Drosophila melanogaster: one gene and its partner. The protein of the gene in region 1 interacts with the protein of each later gene in a pairwise test. Each region holds a gene or a part of one and is shown in the gene's direction. Other genes may lie near its edges.

Region 1 (4,480 bases):
TTTCAGTCCGCGCGCACGTCTTGTCAAATCGCCGATCAGAGAAAAACTGGCTATTCAAAATAGCCGATCCGGTTCTCAGTGGAATTTGAAAATTAAGTCATGGTATTTGAGGTTCGCGAAACATGGTCACACTTCTAGGTGCAGTTATCGATGCTTATATCGAATTTTGCGCTCTCCGTTGGAATTTAAACTTTATAGAATTGCATTCGAAAATATATGTGCTTTAGGCAATAAGCACAAAGTAGCAAATATCACTATCCTGTTGTTTTGGTTGTGATAATTAAGTGCATTACGCCATTTATTGTTTGCTTTTCCTTGAACCATTCATGGGACCTAGATTGAGAGACGTTCTTACAATTATATTGTGTGTATTGTATATTTATCCAGACAAAAGGTAGTATCAATAAATAAAATCGAACGACGCTGGCAGCGACATCGACTAGTCCAGCCCTATATAAGCTCGTCGAAAGCACTTGAAAACAAATTCGATCCGAATCTGAATTGATTAGTACATCAAAGAAAACAATCACCACGAAAACTACTGAAAATGATGCAAATCAAGTTCCTGTTCACCTTCCTCGCTCTGCTGATGATGGTCATCCTGGGCGCCAAGGAAGCCGATGCCGACTGCCTTTCCGGAAGGTACAGAGGTCCCTGTGCCGTCTGGGACAACGAGACATGCAGGCGGGTTTGCCGAGAGGAGGGACGAGGACGAGTGAGTGGTCACTGCAGTGCCAGGCTGCAATGCTGGTGCGAAGGATGCTGAATTTCTACCGAAATTGGACAACTTCTATAGACCCAGAATGATTATGTATCAATCATAAAATTCAATTCCCTAAACATTCACAATTATTTAAAATAAAATCAAGTCAAGAACCAATATTTATTGTTCAGATCAATGCATTGTTATATTCGGCACGTGGTGAAATTGTAAAGGCAGCCGAAAAGTCTGGGTAAATATTTTTATCTCCACGAGATAAATTTCACCACAGCGTCGTCGTACTGAGTGTAAAACTTACAGATCGGAACGTATTTAAGCGCTTATTCTGAGCTGAGAGCGATCAATTTCTTGAGGATTGCATTTCAACAATTACTAAGTTACCAGACCTCCTACCGAAACTATGGAAATCAAGTTCCTAATTGTCCTGTCCGCTGTCTTGATGATAATTTTCCTGGGAGCGGAAGAATCACATGCCGACTGCCTTTCCGGAAGATATAGGGGTTCCTGTGCTGTGTGGCACAGGAAGAAGTGCGTAGATATCTGCCAGAGGGAAGGGCGAACCAGTGGACACTGCAGCCCCAGTCTAAAATGCTGGTGCGAAGGATGCTAAAAAAAGATGTACATGTAAGAAGAGTCTATTCATGTGCATGGAGTAATAAATAGACAACCCTTTCTTATCTATGGATAAAAATTTTTATATATTTTACTGATCATACGGAACTCGATTGATAATGGAAAAACCCCAAGTTGGGGTTGTTTTGGGTCATTCATATCCAAAACGATGTATTTTAGCATTACTACTGCCCCGCTTTTTTTGCATCTATTTATGTAACACACTTAACTTCCTTTCATTGAAATATACTCATTGTGAAGGGTTGTTTACAGATTTTTCGCAAATAAATGATAAACAATGCTCAGAGTTTGATCAGCAGTTGCCTAAATGAAACGTGCAATTTTAAAGTAAACTTCGTGATCTATTTTTGATATGATACTTACAGCAGCTGATCTTCATAATGGGGAAAAGAGGAATTTGGTTAGGGAATTAAAATAAATCAATGACAATTGATTTTACAATTACAATTTCGGTGAGAAAACTGGCAATTACTGTAAAAGTTAATTTGAAAATTCGCGCCAACCTCTTAGCGTTGCCAGATGTTCCACGCTTTCATAGCGATTCCTCACTAAGAAAAGTCGAAGTGTCAAAGGCCCGATATTTTTGGACATCTAAATGATTGCTATTGTTTTGTTTATAAATTACACCAAATAATTGCTTCTATTGCAATTGGACAACAATTTGGTGTGCAGGTAACTGAATGCATGCAGAACTATTGATGGATGATGTCTCCAGCCGAAATACAATACAAAAATATATGATTTTATAAAAGTATTTGTTAAATTGTGATATTGTTTAGTGTGCAGAGGGTAAGAATGTGAGTTTCGTTAGTAATGCCAACAGCAACTCACCCGACACTCCTCTCCAGAAAGAATATATTTCATAGAAGAACTTGGGTGTGCGAAAAGGGAGCACCCGTATCAACAAACAGAAGCACCAGGGGATTCGCCGGCTTCTCGCCCTCCTGGTTTCCTCCTTCATCTCGTTCAAGTAGGCGAAGAGCAAAGCACACCAAAAGATGCGGAGTTACATTGCACTCTTGGGGCTTATCCTAACTCTAAGTGGACAGTTTAACATGCTGCTGGCCGGGAAGAAACATTCCTGCGAGAAATTGCTCGCCGATCTTGGCGATGCACAGAGCAAGTTCATCTACTGCGCCACCACAAAATCAGTGCCCGTGAATTTGTGTGAGGGCTGCGTCGATCTCTACCGCAATCTCACCAATGATTACGGAAACCTAATTGCGAACGCCAACTGTTCCAAGCGTTATCTGAACTCGGACAGGATCAATATAGTGGCTACCACCCAAGGAATCCTAACTAGCCTGTGGCAAAAGGCCAACTGCGAAAGTGTGCATCAGTACTTTGTTCATTTGGGAATCACTGATCTATTCCTACTTTCCAGATTGCTTCAGGGATAATTTTTGGATTGTATACAGCGATAACTCAACAAAGTTGCAAAATTGCTTAGAATCTGCTAGTTCGGATTTAGTTTGCTTCAAGTGCAAAAATGATTACGTGAGTCTAAATGATTTCTACCTTAGCATGGAAAAGAAAGTCGGTGGAAGTGTGTGCTTCGATCTGCAGGACAATGTAAGTTTAAAAATTTATATTTACATTTGCCTATTTTTACACCTTTACTTTTGCTTAGATGAACCGGACTCGTCTGAATTGGTCGAAAACGCTGAAATGCTGTCAACGCGAGGTGAAGCTGACCAATTTTCTCATCGCCGTTGGCGTAGTTGTCCTGCTGCCCATTTTCACCTTCTATATTACGGCAGTTGTAGTGACCAAGCGGCGGGAGGCCAATCATGGCTTGCTCAATGAGCAGGGTAGGAAAGATCGTCATTGGTTAAGCCCATATTCTGATTTTTGGCATTTTAGAACCTGAACTGGACGCGCCCTCCACGTCGACGCTTATCACGGCTGCCGTGCTGTCCACTTCAACAGAGGATCCTGTTGCAATCTCCGCCCGAACAGAAAAGATCGCCAATGTATTGATCGGTGCTGGAACACACCTGTTGGACGAGTCCAGTGATGAAGAACCTCCTAGGGGGAAAAAGGTTGCTCACAGTCCCGCATCCGACTACTCCAGTGACGATGAGCCTCTTGAAAAGCCCAAACGCGCGTAACAAAATCAAAAGCGTTCATTAGAGGAACCTTCGATATCAGCGTAAGAAGAATGTTTTTTAAATTTGAAGAAACTAGAGAAGCAAAGCTCAAAGCATTTCAAGGATTTTCGAATTTTATTATCTTCTATGCTTCTCATATATAACTATATATTGCCTTGAGCCTAACCAAAAACAAAACACTTATATAACAATTGTATAGCCATATACATATGTGATATATTATATATATATACATGGCAAATCAAGACGAGAAAATCATTTTTAGCATTATATATGCACTTTATTGTTGGCAAGTAAAACTGCACTTAAGCCTACGCGTTTATAACAAATTAATGCGAAAGAAGATCAGGGTCATGTCATCATGGAAAGGGCCCTTCCACCGGATTTGCGTACATGATAAGTTTAGCATCTAGCCTAACACTAAGATAACGATTAGCAGAGGAAGTGCATTGGCCGGGTTCGTTCGTTGGTCGACTTCGGATCCTTCCCTAATCCTAATTCCTTATCCGTATAGATTGCCATGGGCGGACGAGGTCTGGAAATGGACCAAACTCCCGTGGGTCTGCAGCGCCGGTTGGTAGTAGGCCTGGTGGTAGTGCGAGGGCGGAGCCGGCTCGTTCACCTGAATCTGATGGTAGTTGGTGAAGGGCTCGTGCTCGACCACTTCGCGTACCGTCTGGAATGGATGATTGACAACGATGCGGCGCTTGTGGAAGGTCTCGCTGGTGGCGGAGGCATCTGTTGGCGCGGCTGTTGCTGCGATGACCCTCTCGTTGGGTTTCAGATGGCCAGCGGCTCCATTAAGCGAGACGTCCACATCCGGCTGGGGCTTCGATTGGGACGGAGTAGCCTGGGTGGCGGATACCTCGGAACTGGGTGCTTCCACCAGGCGCTGGGACTTCTGCTGCCGCAGCTCTGCTCTCTGCTGTCCCCTGTCGCAGTCCGGAGCAATAGTGGTGGCCACCACTGCAGACTTCTCCTGGTCACTGGCTATCTGGATTTGGATGTGGGTGTT
Region 2 (3,408 bases), on another chromosome or scaffold:
CGCCATGGTTGGAACTGGACAAAAAGTTGCGAGGCACGGAAGAATGGCTGGCGGCCAGGTGCCATCCTACGATCCTCTGGCCATGTGATGCGTCACTTCCTGATGCGAAGTAGAGATCCGAATATGTGCGGCAAGGTAACAGCTGATTACGAGGAACAGAAACGATTTGGCCATCCCGTGCTCAATATTTGCAAGCGAAATGGTAATATATTCGTAACCCTTCGTCCACTGCCCACTTTGGGTATGAAACAGAAACCCATAACGTTCCGGATCGTCAAGAGCGATATGGCGGTGGCACTGCGCCAGATCAAGCGTGCTCTCAAGGATCAGGGCTTCGAGAAGTGCAAGTGCCACCAGTCCCTGATGATGTGCACCTGTCGCGATGCCTTGGATAAATTTCACCTGAATAAGGCTCTCAAGAAAGAGTGCCAGAAGCGTTTTATAGAGCCATGTCCCGACCACTTGGTGCTTACCGACACAAGTGAGAGCGATTTGGAGTTCGATCTGGATGTGACTCCGCCGGCGGGAACTCGTAGACCGAAGCGCAAAGCCCTTAGGAACGTGGTGAATCATAGCACCCAGACTGCAATGAAGGAGCCACCAGTTATACCGCCTCCATATCCAGTAGCCCACAATCACTTCTATAGGGCCTACGATTGCGCAGCAGGAGATCGGTATATGGGCACAGCCTTCGGCGATAATATAGAGACCGTTTTCGAGGATGGAGTCTTTGGATACCGGGGTGGTGGCCAGCATGGAAAGCCCGTAATCTGGCGACACCCGAAGGTGTGGGGCAAGAAGGCCCAGGCACCACTCCCGATTGGAACCGCTAGGAACGCCATCGATCCTTACCGGTATACCAAAAATGTTTGGAAAGAACTGCCGCGAAAGATAATACAAAAAATGAGAGCAAAATCAAGGAAATAATTGTATTCTTTTATTAAAAGTCAAAATGTAATAAGCGTGTTTTATTTCTCTTAAGCTACAATGGCAGCCGTTTGGAATTATAGGAATTAGTATAATAGTATTATAAATAATTTTATTTTATATTAGGGAGCACATTTTTTGTGATTGTTAATGACGCAATCCAACTTGTTTTCAAAGTATTGCTAAAATTCTATTAATACGAGCATAAGAATTTGATTAAATATGCTAATTATATAGAAATTATAAACTGGTCTCAATCGACTGCAAACGGTAGTATAAAAGCGCCATGCCAACTGTTAGACTGTATTCATTAAAGTTACCAAAATGAAGATCTTCGCTCTGTGCGCCTTTTTGCTCCTCATCCTGGCTGCCGTCCAGGCCAATAGTTCTCCTGAGACCAGTGCGATCTCTGAAGGGAACCTTAAGAAAACTGCTGGATAATTTATAATTTCACGAAAGCTACTTGAATATTGGAATAAATATTCTATTTAGCAGCAGAATTTGTTGTATTTATTTGTATGCCCTTGCAGAGGGTATAATGATTTCAGACAGAAGTTTGCAACGCACTAAGGGGTACATTTGCAACCATTTAAAATATGTATAAATAATAAGTATTAACAGCAGAGTGTATATAGCCATATAGTCATTTAGTTATCCGTAAGTCCGTTTTTGCTCAAATTAGTCACATATTTAAATCTTTACATAAAATTGTTGTTTGAATTTAATAAATACGCATTACTGCAAATGTATATAAGACGGAAGACAGTATTGGATATATATTATTATAATATTATAATATTGTGAATTTTCGAATTCTAAAGAAATGAAGTTAAAGTTATGTTTATGATAGTTACTAATTATGAAAAGAAGATTTATAGTTTCTAAGAAGTAAATTCCATTTAACGTTGACTCTTCTGTCATACTATACTTCAATTTCCGACAAAGGTTATTAAATTAAGAATTAGCAGTTACTTGAAAGTTGTGTTCGAAGGACACAATGCTGGATATTTTACAAGAACCAGTACATCAGTATGGAAATCGGAGCCACCAGGCGGAGTGTATTCCGCTGGGAAGATATACAGCTTACGGATCGGAAATCGGACAGGATGATCCAGACAAGGGCTTGGGATTCTGCAGCGCCAGCATCCGGCGAGGATTCATCCGGAAGGTGTACCTCATCCTGTTGGCCCAACTGATCACTTCCCTGGTGGTTATAGTTTCACTTACTGCTGATAAACGGGTGCGTCTGATGGTGGCAGAAAGCACCTGGATATTTGTGGTGGCCATACTAATAGTGGTCTTCTCTCTGGTGGCTCTGGGCTGCAATGAGGATCTGCGTCGTCAGACCCCAGCTAACTTCATCTTCCTATCTGCCTTCACGATAGCCGAGTCCTTTCTGCTGGGCGTGGCAGCCTGTCGTTATGCCCCAATGGAGATTTTCATGGCCGTGCTAATCACGGCGTCAGTTTGCCTTGGACTCACCCTTTTTGCTCTGCAGACGCGTTACGACTTTACCGTCATGGGTGGCCTCCTGGTGAGCTGCCTGATAATACTGCTCTTCTTTGGAATTGTGACCATCTTCGTGGGCGGACATATGGTCACCACCATATATGCCTCATTGAGCGCTCTGCTCTTCTCCGTTTATTTAGTTTACGATACACAATTGATGATGGGAGGCAAGCATAGGTACTCCATTAGTCCCGAGGAGTACATATTCGCTGCCCTAAATATTTACATGGATGTAATGAACATATTCCTGGACATTTTGCAATTAATCGGAGGATCCGATTAGTTGCATGAAATCTCACAAACACACAGATTATTTTACATCTGCAATTCGACGTCGAGTATTAATAAATCAAATTCAGCAGCAAGCCTATTTTACATTTACTTAAAAGCCTAAATATAGGCTTTAAAAATTTGGATATTTTTTATACAAAGCACAGTTGCCATAAATAATATAATTAAACTTGTTTGCACAAACAAATGCAGAAATAACAAGAATGACCGGTATTCAATGATCGCACCTGTTCATAATCGCTAATTAACGGGCAACCTATATATTGAAATACATTTCGTATAATTTAGTGTTTTGTGACCCAAAAAATAACGAAAAATTATAAAAAAAAAGATAACTGTAAACGGTTACGATATTAGGTATATAAGATCTTCCAGCACCTCAAAGTGTATCAAATTTTGAAACGATGAAGTTCTTTGCTCTGTGTGCCTTCCTCCTCATTGCCCTGGCTACCGTCCAGGCAACTCCCGGTGATCTGCGCCATGTTCCTGTAGGACACGGAGGACACCCAGTCAATGCTGGCCACGGACCTGTGGGACACGCTGGTCCTGTTGGACACGGTCCAGTTGTAGGCCATGGTCCAGTTGTAGGCCATGGTCCAGTTGTGGGACATGGTGTTCATGGTCATTCTGGCTGAAAACTTATCTGAATCCTACAAGGAGCGCAATGCAGACCTTGATGGA

What was found.
Region 2: the proteins of CG14969 (region 1) and Recs1 interact in a two-hybrid assay, tested with the Drosophila melanogaster proteins (one large-scale study listed by BioGRID).

The regions. Positions count from the first base shown.
Region 1 is NT_037436.4:3,332,430-3,336,909, reverse strand, and holds CG14969 (uncharacterized protein), read left to right. Parts: upstream 1-1,931; 5' UTR 1,932-2,143; intron 2,144-2,202; 5' UTR 2,203-2,352; coding exon 2,353-2,683; intron 2,684-2,738; coding exon 2,739-2,926; intron 2,927-2,984; coding exon 2,985-3,165; intron 3,166-3,217; coding exon 3,218-3,465; 3' UTR 3,466-3,791; downstream 3,792-4,480. Other genes in the region: Drsl6 (Drosomycin-like 6), read left to right, coding at 548-766; Drsl1 (Drosomycin-like 1), read left to right, coding at 1,122-1,331; CG14961 (uncharacterized protein), read right to left, coding at 3,968-4,480.
Region 2 is NT_033777.3:14,152,276-14,155,683, reverse strand, and holds Recs1 (Recs1), read left to right. Parts: upstream 1-1,854; 5' UTR 1,855-1,924; coding exon 1,925-2,719; 3' UTR 2,720-2,799; downstream 2,800-3,408. Other genes in the region: CG31533 (uncharacterized protein), read left to right, coding at 1-927; CG44215 (uncharacterized protein), read left to right, coding at 1,252-1,368; CG42500 (uncharacterized protein), read left to right, coding at 3,132-3,362.